4 linked regions of the Nothobranchius furzeri genome follow. The protein of the gene in region 3 interacts with the protein of the main gene of each other region in a pairwise test. Links are inferred from orthologs where the notes say so. Each region holds a gene or a part of one and is shown on either strand. Other genes may lie near its edges.

Region 1 (3,730 bases), on a different chromosome or scaffold from region 3:
GGAAGAGAAGAAAAGGAGAAGGTGAAACATAAAGAAAAAGAAAGGATCGAGAGAGAAGGAGACAAGGAAAGGAGGTGAGGAGAGAAGGAATCCAATAAGTTTCACCTCCAACTGACCAGCCAATCAGAGCAGAGATCATTATTACTACACACAGAGTGTGTTCCACAAGTAATAACACAGAAATGATGGCAGCTCATCTGAGACCCATGGCGAGGCACTGGTGTTACAGAAACACAGCTGGTTTTATTTCCACGTTATTAGAGAAAAGCAGTGAATTAGAGTTTTCATTCCAACATTTAAAACATCACATGAATTATTAGTGCGCTAAATACAATCAGAGGACTCCAAAGGAAGAGCGGAATTGGTCAAAAATTAAATAAATCTCAGGTCACATTTAAAAAGCCAGAGGAATAAAGAGTTTGCGAGACGAGAGGTGAGCGACAGAGCTGCAGACCAGGAGAAGCAGCATGCAGGACGTGCATGGCTCACATCTAAACCACCCAGATCACACCGCCACTCTTCCCCACCAACACTCATTCCTGGGAAAATAATCCGGATTACTCAAACCGGCAATTACACAGCATGGAGGAGGAGACTACTAAAATATAATGGTTAATTCAAATTGTCTGCTTTCACATCCCCTTCTTCTGCTAAGCGGGAGCATTGTGTTTATGGGTCAGCACTAACATCCAAGACTTCTCAGGTGAGCCCCTAAATATCTTCTATTAGTTAAAACGACGGTTTTATCATAACTATCAAGATGAATTCAATCTAATTTCTGTTCAGCTTTTTACAGCTAACACCCCAGCTGACCGGGTCAGAGTCTGGCTAGGCTCAGGTTAGCCTCAGGACAGCCATGAGAAAATACTGGTACCAAAACATCCTCCCAGAGAAACTCCTCCATCTATCAGACAACAGTTTAGTAATGAACAATGTCTTCTCCAGTAAGATGGAGCACTGGACCAGTCTGATGAAGTCAGAAATTAAGTAGATCAGGAAAAAAAATCATGTAATTCGACTTCAGTAACCATAGAAACATCTGACAGAAAGATCTACACACACTGAATAAAGAACCGGAGACCAACACTTGGGTTGTTCTCTAAAGATTTGGACACATCTGTAAAAATTTGGAAAGTTGAAGACTCGTAAGGACAAGGTGGACCTGGACGTGTATGGATCACGATGATGACCAGTGATGAGTAAGGAAACCCTTTGAAATGCAAGGAGCGGTCACTCAAACACGCCTCAGAAAAAATAAGAAGTGGAATCACAAGTGGCATGATAGCGCAACCAGTTGGTTGGAGGAGCATCTGATGATGAGTGAAGGTCAGGAGACCCTTCAAAGTTATGGACACACAAAGTTTATATCTGGTATTGTGGTGCAGAGGAACTTAAGAGTCTGAGATCAGGTCTACTCAGGTAGGGATATGATGGACCTGAAGACACAACGTCCGCATGTTCAACCTGCCCTGAGTCCAGTCACTGAGTAATACCATGCACACTCAAGAGTACTGGCTACCACTGACACATGTGATCCTTCACATTTGGATCAGATGTGACTGAAACGTGCAAACTGGGACATTTAATCATTTATCATCACCACAATATCAGAATCACAAAGTACTTCACAACAAATCAGAGGCAAATGAATGACATCTTCCAAGTGAGCTGAGTTTAAGGGTCTATGAGTTAACCACACAACCATCTGATTGACTCCCACCCCCCCGCATACCCTCAACTAAAACAGAAAGAGGGGTGAGGACGAGGAGTGATCACATCTGACACAACATTCAACCACATCTCCATCTCGTTCTCTAATATTGTACAGCCCAGAATAAACAGACCTCCAGCTTTTCATCTCCCCAGCTCCCCTGTCCTTACATGTAGGTCTCTCCCAGCGCTGAGCCTCCCTCTGCTCCTCCTTCAGCTCCTCATTGACCTCCTTTTCCTGCAGCTTCTTCTCCTTCTGAACCAGCTCCTCCTGAAGCTGAAAAACATTCAGTTACATACAGTTAATGTAAATGTTAATGTTAATGTAAAATGTGGATTTTGTTCAAATACACGATTTTACTAAACAACAAGCAGCTTTACTTCATTAATTCTGGAGTATTTGTGTTTAAAACCTACAACAACAGCTGAGCATCAGCTGATCCAGACCCTTACTTTGTTGTTGAGTTCTCTCAAAGCATCCAGCTCCTTCAGTAAAAACGAGATGTTTTTGTCTCGATCAAAACTCTGCAGTCGAGCCGGCGAGGAGCTCTGATGAGAACTGAAGAAGACAAAACCAGTGAGTGACATGTCATGAGCGATTAAAATATACAGAATGTGTGTGTGTGTGTGCATATATATATATATATGTATATGTATATATATATATATATATATATATATATATATATATATATATATATATATATAGTGTATATGTGTGTGTCCTGTAGCATTAAACCATTTGAGGAAGCATCTAGCTGGACGACTGTAATTTTCTCTCCATGTCTGCCACCAAGAGAAGATCAAAGCAGCTGTGAAAGTATGACACGTGAATGCCGATGACCGATCTGCAGCCCAAAGCAGCCAATCCAGATCAGCTGCTGGTCAGTCGGGCCGCATCGGGTCAGGTCTCAGGTGTTTCATTAGTATTTCTCCAGGCGTGTAGTCAGGTCAGGTGTTTTAAAAAGAGGTGATGGCCTCACATTATCAGGCGTGATGTGCAGCGCTGCAGGCAGCAGGTTTAATAAGCACCGACTGATGTTCTCTTGTAATTCTCTCATATTACCATAAAGGTCAGGCTGCTTCTTAGCGTAATAAAGCAGGTAAATAAGGCACTGAAATATGACTGACATCGTATTCTATAATTGACTGTTTCTGACTTTATTATATCAGCTTTTTCTAATCAACCTCCCCATCTTCCTGCTTCAACTGCTTTTACTATCTTTCTATTTCAGTCAGGCCATCAAACACTGCAACTAATCAAATCTAAATTTACCAGCTTGTGCTTCGTACTTTGAAGCACCTCCACAATTTTATTTGAAAAATATCCAAAGAAGAGACATATTAACATGAATTATAGAATCAACGAAAAGATGGAGGATTCAGCGAAAAGCAGTCAACTTTTTAATAAATCTGACAGACCCAAGCATTTCTTATTAATCATTTAAAAACACACACGAGAGCTTACCATCTCAGAACATTATTATGATCCTCTAATTGTGTAATAACCCACGGCTCTGATGAGCCACGTTTTTGTTGTTTCTTGTTAATGTTAAAACATTAAAATCTTACCGACTTTGCTCTGAAATGAACTGAGATGCTGATTTCTCTCCTGCTGAAAAAGATCAAAAGAAGCCAACTGGACTTCTTTTGGGTTCTGGAAACCCTTTCATCCGCACACAATATGTTTTCTCACTTTAAATACTAAAACTTCAAATAAACAAATAAATTACAGAAAGCCATCAGATCTTGTTAACAGGAGCTGCCATGTTGAGCAGTCTTTGGATGTGGACGTCCTCAGTCACACTAATTCCACCGTCTCTGTCCAGAACATGGACATTCCACCTTGCAGCGTTGGCTACACCCTAAACTGTTGTTGTCGAGTGTTCAGTCCTTTGGATGGACCACGTTCGGTCTGAGGCTGCTGTTGGGTTTAAATGGTAAAGGGCCTGTACTTGTAGAACGCCTTTTTTGGGTTCTACAACCCGCCCAAGGCGCTTCACAACACATTCACCCATTC
Region 2 (4,291 bases), on a different chromosome or scaffold from region 3:
CCTGCTTACTATAAGAACGCTGTAATCCACCCGCTTCTTAAAAAACCGAGTCTGGGCCCCTCTCTCCGTAGCAGCTTCAGACCCATCTCTAAACTTCCGTTCATCTCCAAGATCTTGGAAAAGGCTGTGGCTGTCATGTTGAGGGTGTGGATGACGGCAGACCACGTGTGGTGGAGCAGATCAGGAGGCAGGAATGCAGGCACGGATGAAATAAAAGTAGTTTTAATGGCAGAGCGGGAACGACAGAACAAAAACAACGCTGACAACAAACAATGATCTGACCAAGACTGATACAAGAAGGGAGGTATAAATACACAGGGGCAAATCAGGAACACCTGGGCAGGTGAAACCAGTAGGGACTAATAAACGGCAGGGGAGAGACACAGTCAGGGAGGCAGGAGCAGAATGTGACAGTGGCTAAACAACTCACAGCTGCTCTTGATGAACAGAACATCTATGATAGCTTCCAGTCAGGTTTCCGTAGAGCTCATTCTACTGAAACAGCTCTTCTTAGGGTCTCTAATGACCTTCTGACTCACAGTGATGCAGGGGACTGTTCTGTTCTGTTCTGGTCCTGTTGGACCTGACTGCAGCCTTTGACACTGTTGACCATCACCTGCTACTGGAGAGGCTGAGAGACTGGGTAGGCCAATCAGGAACTGTTCTGGAGTGGTTCTCCTCTTATCTTTCTGAGCGCTCCTTTTCTGTGGCCGTCTCCAAGTTTAGGTCCTCCACCACCTCTCTTACCCATGGTGTCCCACAAGGTTCTGTGCTGGGGCCTCTGCTCTTCCTCCTCTATCTGCTTCCTCTTCAGCACATCCTGAGCTCCTTCAAAGGAATCTCCTACCATCTTTATGCAGATGACATCCAACTGTACATCTCCTTTAAGCCCCATGAGATGTCTAAGCTGCAGCTGTTACACACCTGCTTAGACTCTATCAAAGCCTGGATGGCTGGGAGCTTTCTACAGCTGAATGAAGATAAGACTGAGATCCTCATCTGTGCCCCAGACAAGCTGGTTCCTAAAGTCAGAGACTCTCTTGGTCAGCTTGCTTCCCACACCAAACCTTCTGTCAGGAATCTTGGCGTGACCTTTGACCCAGCTCTCACCCTGGATTCTCATGTCAGTTCTCTTGTTCGCTCTTCCTTCTTCCATCTCCGGAACATTGCTAAGCTGAGTCCCATTCTGTCCCGCTCTGAACTTGAGAAAGTTCTCCACACCTTCATCTCCTCACGCTTAGACTACTGTAACTCTCTTTTCACGTGTCTGAGCAGAACCTCCCTGAACCGTCTACAGGTGGTTCAGAATGCCTGTGCTCGGCTTCTGACTAGGTCCTCCAAACACACCCACATCACCCCGCTTCTCCTCCAGCTTCACTGGCTGCCAGTCATCTTCAGGGTTCATTTCAAGATCCCGGTTCTGGTCTATAGAGCCTTACATGGACAAGCACCATCTTACATTGGTGATCTTCTTAGTCCAAACACCCCCAGCAGGTCCCTGAGGTCCAGTGATCAAAGCCTACTGGTTGTGCAGCACCAGGCTAAAGGTCAAAGGTGACAGAACATATGCTGCTGTGGCCCCCAGACTCTGGACCTCTCCCCCTGAGCCTGAGATCAGTGGACTCAGTGGTCTCCTTTAAAAAGCAGCTGAAGACTCACTTGTTCAAGCTGGCTTTTGGATGACCTTCTTCACCACTCTCTCTTTATTCTGCTCTCCCCACCTATTCCACCTTCCTCAGGATCCACTGATTTCCCTCTTTCCTATTCACTCTCTCTCTTTCTTTACATTTTTTAATCACATTTGTCTATTTTTTGCTCATTTTAAACATATTTTAAACATTTTCTTAATTCTTTATATTTTTACATTTTTTGTTTTTGTGAAGCACCTCGTGATTTCTATCTTGAGAGGCGCTATAGAAATGATATTTTCTTCTCCTTTAGATGGTCTCTCAGTCTAAGATGGATTACTGAAATAGACTTTGCATCATATTCTAATTTTTCAAGTTTCACCATTATACTGCTGGAAAATCAGTTTTATCTTTATCCTGGTGCCACATTAGCAGATTTATAAGTTGAACAGAGTTAAGATTGTGGGTTTCATCCAAAATCTCCCGACTCTTGTTGGTGTGGTTTGGATTTGATGACTGAAGCATAAGGAAACAAATCAAACAGGGGCCTCAGTTTCATGTGGAGGAGACACAGCCACAACATGGTCACCAGCTTGGGCACACACTGCTGTGGGATGGCATTGTGCCAGTCAGAGTTCAATGGGGTTGATGTTTTCCATCTGCAGGGCGTCTGAGCTCTCACTTAGAGACAGGGTGGGAAGCTCGGTCATCTGGGAGGGGCTTGAGGTAGATCCACTGCTCCTCCACATCAAGAGGAGCAAATTGAAGTAACGTGGGAATCTGGTTTGGATGCCTCTTGGACGATATGTTCAACCAGGAAAGACCTAGGACACAATATACTTTATTTCCCGTCTGTCCTGGGAACACCTTAGGATTTCCCCAGAAAAGCTGGCCTCGGACAAGCAGAGGAAAACAGATACACACTCTGAGATGTAGTTTCCTTAAAACAAACGAACAACAAAGGTGGTTCACACACTGATCCAAGTGTTGATGAGTCAGCAACCGCTCCCAAACTCAGCTGACCCTATGGACTTACCTAAGCATAGCTGAGGGTGACACAACCGTCTCTCTAAACTGGAACACCTCCAGTTCTGATCGCCCACCCAACTTCTTCCTGATTTGTGATTGGCTGAGCAATCCTTCAGTCAGAACATCTTTTTCATGTGCAACGCCCGACTCGAAGAGCATCGGGTGACAAACACTTTAATCAATCCTGTGCTGAGTTCAAAGCGCGCTGGGAAATCCAGCCGTCCAACTAGTCACGACTGGCCGGATGAGAAAATGAAATTAAATACAGCAGCCGGACTCCTTAAAGAATAAAATTATTCAGCACCGAGCTATATTGCAGCCTCGTTTTCTTTCCCCGTTCTGCAGCTTAGATATGAAATATCTGAATCAGGCTCCGCGTCGCCCGATAATAACCCACGGTACACCCGCCGGAAGCACCACGGTTATTATTAAATAGCATTTAAAACCAGAAGGGATCTTAGTGGAGATCAATTCGGCGATTGAAGGAGTCGTTTGACCTAGAAAACAGTCCGGTAGCGCTGCAGTCCTTCGAGAGAAAAGCGGGCAGCGCCGCACCGGAGCAGCCCCGTCTGTCCTGGAGCGACGCCCACTTCAGGCTTCAGCCAGCACACAATAGAAAACAGCCTCACGACCCTCCTGCTGCTGGCGAGCTTTGAAATAAACACATCAGCGCTGATTTAATCAGCCTAGACGAACGAGGCGGCAGCACACCCGGTTTTTTTTATCCCCACTTCTCCCCGGAGGTCCGGAGAGCAGCGAGATCAGCCTGCTGCCCGCACCGAGAGGCTCCATCTCAGGCGAGAGGTGTCGGCAAGACCCGCTTACGCCCCACAAAGAAAAGCCATCGATACTCACTGGTGACTGGATTCACCCGGCGCCCGGTAGAGTCGACTCGCCCCTAAATCTGCCACCATGTCCATTTTCTGGTGCTTTCTGTCGCTTCGCTCGGCTCCCCCCCACCCTGCGCGCGTCCAGGGTCCACAGCCAGCACTTCCTGCTCAGCCCTAAAGACCGAAACCCGGCCACAGCGACTGGAGCTGTGTGTGCTGACGTGGGTGTTTATGCACAGGGTGCCCGAAGGTCCAAGGAGCCACTTAAAGCCCCAGTGTCCCTTTAAAACCCACCACAGCGTTCCCAGAGCTCAGGTTAACACCGGATTTCTGCAGATCTCCATTTATATACACTCTATAGTTTGGCTTCTGCAAAAAACGAACAAAAAAACAACAACCTAAAAACCAAATTAAACAACATTTTAGATTACTTATGATTAATTATTTCATTATTGTGATTTTAATGCACAAAAACATTGAAAAGATTTTCTTCAGCTGCAGTTTATTTCAAAAACAGACTGAAAATGGATTGCAAATATATATTAAGGCCTGAGATTAAGTTTATGGGTTATAGGAAAAAAAATGCTGAAAAAGTGATCATTTTAAATTTTTTGCAGCATTTTAGAAACAAATCAGCTGCATCAAGATGTGCTGTTGAATCCTGTGGGATTCATGGACTGCCAACGCCACAGATCCTCACCTGCGAGAAACAAAATCAGGCCATTATCTAGGAGTCGTCCCGCATTATTAAGCGTGTGGTTCATCAGGAGCTTACACATTCTTTCCAAGTCAAATTGAGCCTTC
Region 3 (2,398 bases):
GCATGCTGTAAAGATCCCCCCCCCCCCCCCCCTCCTCCACGTGAAAATCACGTCCATGCACCCACACCCCCCACGGTTTAGACGCGGCGCTCATGCAGGTGTCTCTTTCTGTTCCGACACTGCTACACGTAATATGTTTAATTTATTAAGCCTACAATTTATTTTTACTCAGTAACAGATATGATTTCAAATGTAGCGAATTGCAATTCTTTTTTTAAAAACGTACTCAAGTTAAAGTTAAAGTACAGATTCAAGAAACGACTTAAAAAGTATAAATATACAAAAAAAGCTTCTTAGGTGTGTTCTTGCTGTGTCGTATCTCTAATTCCATGCTGTAGTTCTTTTTTAAAACACAGAGCAGTTTTGTTTACCTGCTCTGTGTTTTAAAAAAGAACTACAGCATGGAATACAAAAGAAGCTACTCAGTTACAGTAACGTGAGGAAATGTAACTTGTTACTTTCCACCTCTGAATTTAATTTAACAGAGGTTACGGTTGTAGCTTCACAGATGTGATGTATATAATTCACATGAGATGTGACATTAAAACCACTATGATACTGGGAGTAAACTGCACTAAGCACCTGAGGAGCCGCTGGCCAGCATGACTCAGAACTCCCGCCAAAGTGAAAAGAAAACGTAGAAAAGTAAATAAATGAAGCGGAGTCTTTTTTGCACCAGATTTATTTGTAAAGTTGTGTAAGTTAGAAATAAAAGTACAACAAGTTCAGCAAGACTTTTAGTCGTGAAGAAAAATTGTTCATAACTTCTATTTTATATTATTGTAGCTTTAAACTCTGCCAGAAGAAAGCTTTTGTTTTTTAAAGTGAAAGAAAAAAAGATGGAAAAGTGCCGGTGAGAAGTGATCCGGACACAAAACTGAAGTGAAAACAACATTTATTTTCAGGAGGCCTCCTTTCTGTTTCTGAAGTCTTAAAATAAAAAAGTGGGTATCAGAACTCGGTCATCTTCTTGTGTGTGTCGGCCTTCCTGTGCTCGCTCTGGATGGAGAGCTCCTGTGCTTTCTGCTGGGCCAGCAGGCGGCGAGCCCCTGACAGTTGCTCCTCCAGCTGCTTAACTCTGGAAGCATCTCTGTGCAAAACACAAACAAACCCGGCATGAAGGAGGAGGAGGAGGAGGAGGAGGAGGAGGAGGAGGACGAGAGGGGTGACAAGTAAAGAGGATTTCTGGTAGCTATGGAAACAAGAATCTCACCTCACATTTTCACATCCTGTTTACATTCTCACACAACTCCTACCGCTCTCATGTTACTTTAAATACATCTGATCAGAAATAAAAGCTATCTGAACTCGACCAGAACTGATAAAGTGCTGTGAGACACATCTGGACCGACCTGCCCGTCTGCCTGCTCAGTGACTCGCTCAGTTTCTGGATCTCCCTCTCAGTCTGAGCAACCCTCTCAGCAGCCTGGAACAGCTTCACATTCAGGCTCCTCTTGGCGTTCCTTCCTGCTCTGTAAGCTTCCACCCCGGTCGCCGTCGCTGCCGATGGCGCAGCAGCGCCCCCTTCTGCAGGATCTGTGCATTTGTCTCCAAGCTTGTGATTTAAAAAGTCAAACACAGTTTGCCGCTTTCCGGGAACTCGGGGCTTCCGGCGGCGTTTCGGGCGGGAAGCTTGTGTTCCGTCTTTCGCAGCCTTGTTCTGAGTGCGTCTCTGTGTTAGCTCTGCACACTCGTCCAGAGACTTCCCCTTCGGTAGCACCACCGCCATCACCGGCTCTACTCGACCCTCCTGCAGCTTTCCTAAACCTGTGGAATGGAACAAGCTTTTGAAAAAAGGGAGCTGGGGTCTCATTTATCAAACATAGCGTAGAATCCTTACTACAACCGTACTTAAGCTCAGCAAAAACAAATGTACTTACGCCAAGTTGGTTTGTGATCTATCAAACATGGAGTACACACAGCTGCACGCAATCTCTGCTTCATAAATCGGAGACTAACGAGAAAGTTTCTCAGCTGCATTTTAGTCACATCCCGTCCTCACCACGCCCACTTACTGCCATAAATGGTCAATGCAAACTAGTGCCTTGTGGATCTCATGCATGTACATAAGCCGGCTGTTGCAGCGCTCCGCCAATGACGATGGCGACCGTAGATCAAGGCAGATGAAGGAAGCGCAATTTCACAGAAACAGAAACTGAGGTACCTGTGGGTGAGGTGGAGAAATGAAAGGAAGTGCTTTTGCAAAACAAATAAGAGAAAATCCACGGAGCGGCACAGCGTTGCTGAAGCCGTCGATGCTGTGAGTTCTTCAGAGAGATCTGTGGCGGATATAAAAAAAAGTGGTCCAATCGGGATTCGATCCCCAGACTCCCAGGTGAAAGTCAGGCATGCTAACCAGTCAGCCAAACGGAGATCTCCCCTGTACAAGTACACACTG
Region 4 (4,177 bases), on a different chromosome or scaffold from region 3:
ACGTGGAGGACTCCAAAAGCTCATCTCACCAAATTTACATCACTAAACCGATGAAGAAGAAAAAAATTACTGAGTTTAGTTAGCTTTGCATCCTTCTTCCTGCATGAAATAAGGAGCATTAAACATGGGAAAAAAATGTATCTGGCCATGTAGAAGGTGGCAGCTGTGTTGGGGAGAAAAGATTCTGCAGTGATATCTAAGTCATATGTGCAATGTCTGATTTGTTGTCTTTTTAAGTACATTTTTTTTACAAGCAAATAGATCTCAAATTATGTGACAGACATTGTTGAAACACACATAATTATTTTTCATTTAAATCGAAGTAGGGGATTTGTGTGATTCAGGGTGTAAAGCAAAGCAAACCAGAAAATTACCTTTAATATTATTATATATTTTTTTAAGCTCAGGGGCTCTTGAGCCAACCGGGGAGGAGACTGGGGTTTCCCAATGTCACTTTGTGTTTAGGTTTAAAAATGACAAAGTTGTAAAAGAGTTTAATAGCTAGCTGAAAGGAAATGGGACCAGTTAAAATAAATAGAAAATCAACGTATCAAAATTTAGGGAATATTAATACAAGAATGTTTGTGACTTTATTTTTTTTAACTCTGTTGTTTAGAATATTCACATGACCGATAGTCACATTTCCCAGTCAAATGTTTTTTTTTTATTTACATGTGTATATTATTTTTAAATTAACAGAGAATTAAAACTTAAAGAGGGACTGCACACCATCAGAAAATGTAACTCCACCTCTAGTCAAGATTTGGAAAATGCCATGAAAGTGGGCATTGCCAGGAGGCACAGCGCGGCATGGCCAAGTGTGGGGAATTTCCATCCTAGTTCCATAGGAGGGAGGGTAGTGGGAGGAGACTGTACCAATGACATGAAATTGTTCCAGCCCCAGCCAATCACAAGTTTAAAATGCAGTAGCCGCCATTCTGCCACGGGGGGCAGCACTGAGACGTTTTTAGAGCTAGATTCTAGATTTAATTAAGTTTACACAAACATGTCAAAAATGCACAGAAACAGAGAGATTGTATTTGTAAGGACCCAATTATATGGTTTATAAGCCCAAAAAAGTTATTTTGGGGTTTAGTTACTCTTTAAAAAATAAATAATTAAACTCCCTTTTTTTCCAGGAGTGAATCACATTAAATAATATCTTAAATTAACACTTCTTTGCATAAACATGCATTTGTTATTCATAATGTAAATGTTCGGAGAGAAGTTGCCATGTTAATGTCTGCTTGTGGGTGTCATGTCTATTACTTCTGCCTTGATAATTTACGCTGGTGATGTGGACTAGGCATGAGTAGTCGAGTGCAGACACCATCACCAACCCCCTCATGGGTATATATTTTTTTAATACTTTGTGAGGGAAAAACTGTCAACCATATCCAAAGTGCAGGACCAAAGACAACTAAATAATGTATGCTTTTGTTAGATTCTTTGAAGACGATATATGCTACGCGTTACCCGTTTCAAGTGTCGAAGATTTCAGACCTCTGCACAGAACAGATTTTGATCATCAGAAGGTGTATCTGGTTCACAGAACTGAGGAGAATGGCTGCGCAGGCCAGCCGTGCCAAGCACAGATTCTTGCCCTTGCAGGTAAGTTACCCTCCGGACACTTTGCTTTCATCGTTACCGATTCTAATTTTCTCTGTCAGAGCAGTAACGCTGCTGTTAACTTCACTCAGACAGCTGTCAAAGCAAGTCTTTTCGTTCCGAACAGTCGGGACGCGATCAGCTGGAATTTAACAGCTGAAACAACAGAAACAACAACGTCCTCCGCCGTAGCTAGCAAGACATGCTAAGTTTAGAAGGCTGTCATACTTCGTCAAAGCTGGGTTTAACGCAGTGTGTTGTGCTGGCGGTTATGTGTCCTGGCTCTGAAGTGCAGTGTTCGTGGTTTCATGTAACGCTTGCGAGTCGCAACGATTGTTTACAACATGAAGCTAACGGTACTAGCATGCTATATCCGTTTTTTCATTAGCACGTTAGCTCCGGTGGGGTAACAAACCCGACGCAGAACTGTCCTGACGTTACACAAACGTCTCTGACATACAGGATTTTTAAATATCTTAGTTTGTTTGAGGTTTGAAAATGTTGTATAACTGTTACTCTGACTGTGTCTGTGCGGTTAGCTTGTCTGTGGCTTTGCTGTAGCTCGTTTTACTGTTGCGGTGTTGCAGTTTCCGTGACACTTCCGTGCATAGTTACACAGTAGCCTTCTGGTTTTGCGAAAACCAATGATGATTTGTTAAACTGTGTAGGCGAATGTGTTTGATTTGCTGCTGCTTTGGTATGGACACAAGTTTTTATACTTATACATGGTGATACAGCCCTAACCCTGCGACTCAGTCGTTTGGGCTATGAGACAAATCAGTGGCAGATTGGCTGAAACATGGATTTTAATAGCTTACACCCCTAAGGTTAGTTTGAAGAGGCTGGATGCATGATTAAAATATTAAACTGAACTTATCTGTGATCAGTTGTGTGGATTCTCTTTTATTTTTAAGATGTCTGCACTTTTTGGTACCTAAACTGCCTGTTATTGGATTCACAGATACAGTAGAAGAATTTGAAGACAGCATTACACAAAAAAAGATGAAAATTCCCAAGATGTCCATCAAGTCTTCAGGAAACTCTATTGAGAACCGTTTTGGAGAGGAGAGGATGCCACTCAGGCATAAAAAGGTAACAATGTAAATGAGTTGTTTACAATCATTTAGTGACATTTTTTTATACCAGAGGATATATTGTTTATTACTAACAACAGCACAAATATAAATTATATTATACATTCATTCACAAAGTCTGATTATATTTATTGCATCAAGGCATTCATAAGATAAATTCAAGTGAACCAAATAAGAGTAATATTTCTTTTTGACCATGTATATACTTTAGAAAGAACCCTAATTAGCTTGATCAACATTATGTAATATTTCTGTAGTTAAAGAAGTCATCTTAATTTTGATATGAAATTTGATGCTTTGTTACATTTTCATAAACTTGGCTGACATCCAAAATCCCTTACGCTATTTTTACCATATGCTGGATTAACACACAAATTCAGCACTCTGGACAGCTGCCCTTTCACCAGCAAATCCGCTGAGCGGCTCATCAAAGAACTCGGTGACTCTTTTCGTCCGTGTCTCTGCTGTGATCTGCACAGTCTAAACAAGCTGACTGGAGTCTGTCTGTAATGTCAGCTTTAATCTGATGTGACATCGTTTCATTTAGCTTAGAAGAGTTAAAATAAGTTACATTTTTGGTAAGGTGTTAGGATGAAACTCTCATTCAGCAGCAGATTTTGTTAAATTCTATGAAAGGTTTCCAGAGACTGAAAGTTCTGGATTTTGGGTTGAGATAAAAATCTGAATAAAAAAAATTAGATTGTTTGATATTATTACTACTTATTTGTCTCTCTTTAGTTAGTTCTTTTGTTTCAGGACATTGTAGTTTCTTGATCATTTTGTTGCAGCTCAGTTATCAGGTCAATGGCCTATTTCTACCCTAAAATGACAGTTATTTTCTCCAGGCCCTGTCACACGATCATGGACGCCCCCTCTCCAACTCTTCCAAGAGCCTTGCAGCTGTTGTGGCACGACTAGAGAGGAATGCAGCCAACTCCTGTATGGAGGGTGAAGAGGACCTGGATGAGGATCGGCTGGCTGAAGAAGGAGGGGATGCAGATGACGAAGATGACGATGTGGAGGCAGCACATCGGCGACATCATCACCAGCAACAACAGCAACATTTGGAGATGGACACAGATTGCGTGTCGGAGGTAGCCGCCGCTGTTGTTCCTCGAGTTCTGTACGAGGAGCTGGTTCACAGCTACAGGCAACAGGAGGAGGAGATGAGGCGACTGCAGCAGGAGCTGGAGAGAACCCGTAGGCAGCTAGTGCAGCAGGCCAAGAAGCTGAAAGAGTATGGCAGCTTGCTGACAGAAGTCAAAGAACTGAGGGACTTTAACAGGAGACTGCAAGATGTACTTCTCATGAGATTGGGCAGTGGTAAGAAACCAGAAGCATGCACGCCTCCGCACAAGCCACTCATTTCCTGTCTACAAATCCTTAACTGACTGATAACATTTGACCTTAGTAATCAGCTAAAATTTAAACAGTTTTCTTACTTGTACAGTTAGAAAGCAAAAAGTCAGAGGGGA

The links.
Region 1: the proteins of zgpat (region 3) and mipol1 interact in binary tests that used the Homo sapiens proteins (3 or more experiments, as listed by UniProt). The two-hybrid records come from large-scale screens. The link is inferred for Nothobranchius furzeri from reciprocal best matches to the Homo sapiens genes ZGPAT and MIPOL1.
Region 2: the proteins of zgpat (region 3) and zbtb8a interact in binary tests that used the Homo sapiens proteins (3 or more experiments, as listed by UniProt). The two-hybrid records come from large-scale screens. The link is inferred for Nothobranchius furzeri from reciprocal best matches to the Homo sapiens genes ZGPAT and ZBTB8A.
Region 4: the proteins of zgpat (region 3) and bend5 interact in binary tests that used the Homo sapiens proteins (3 or more experiments, as listed by UniProt). The two-hybrid records come from large-scale screens. The link is inferred for Nothobranchius furzeri from reciprocal best matches to the Homo sapiens genes ZGPAT and BEND5.

Annotation. Positions count from the first base shown.
Region 1 is NC_091758.1:16,364,865-16,368,594, reverse strand, and holds part of mipol1 (mirror-image polydactyly gene 1 protein), read right to left. Parts: intron 2,270-3,730; coding exon 2,164-2,269; intron 1,988-2,163; coding exon 1,882-1,987; intron 1-1,881.
Region 2 is NC_091758.1:35,826,760-35,831,050, forward strand, and holds the start of zbtb8a (zinc finger and BTB domain-containing protein 8A), read right to left. Parts: upstream 2,951-4,291; 5' UTR 2,817-2,950; coding exon 2,665-2,816; intron 1-2,664. Other genes in the region: gale (UDP-glucose 4-epimerase), read right to left, coding at 4,129-4,187, 4,263-4,291. UniProt on the Homo sapiens protein: May be involved in transcriptional regulation.
Region 3 is NC_091755.1:51,593,779-51,596,176, forward strand, and holds the end of zgpat (zinc finger CCCH-type with G patch domain-containing protein), read right to left. Parts: intron 1,768-2,398; coding exon 1,353-1,767; intron 1,091-1,352; coding exon 952-1,090; 3' UTR 665-951; downstream 1-664. UniProt on the Homo sapiens protein: Transcription repressor that specifically binds the 5'-GGAG[GA]A[GA]A-3' consensus sequence. Represses transcription by recruiting the chromatin multiprotein complex NuRD to target promoters.
Region 4 is NC_091748.1:56,176,960-56,181,136, reverse strand, and holds the start of bend5 (BEN domain-containing protein 5), read left to right. Parts: upstream 1-1,240; 5' UTR 1,241-1,427; coding exon 1,428-1,611; intron 1,612-1,682; exon of another isoform or gene 1,683-1,810; coding exon of another isoform or gene 1,811-1,964; intron 1,965-2,299; exon of another isoform or gene 2,300-2,435; intron 2,436-2,569; coding exon 2,570-2,700; intron 2,701-3,547; coding exon 3,548-4,025; intron 4,026-4,177. UniProt on the Homo sapiens protein: Acts as a transcriptional repressor.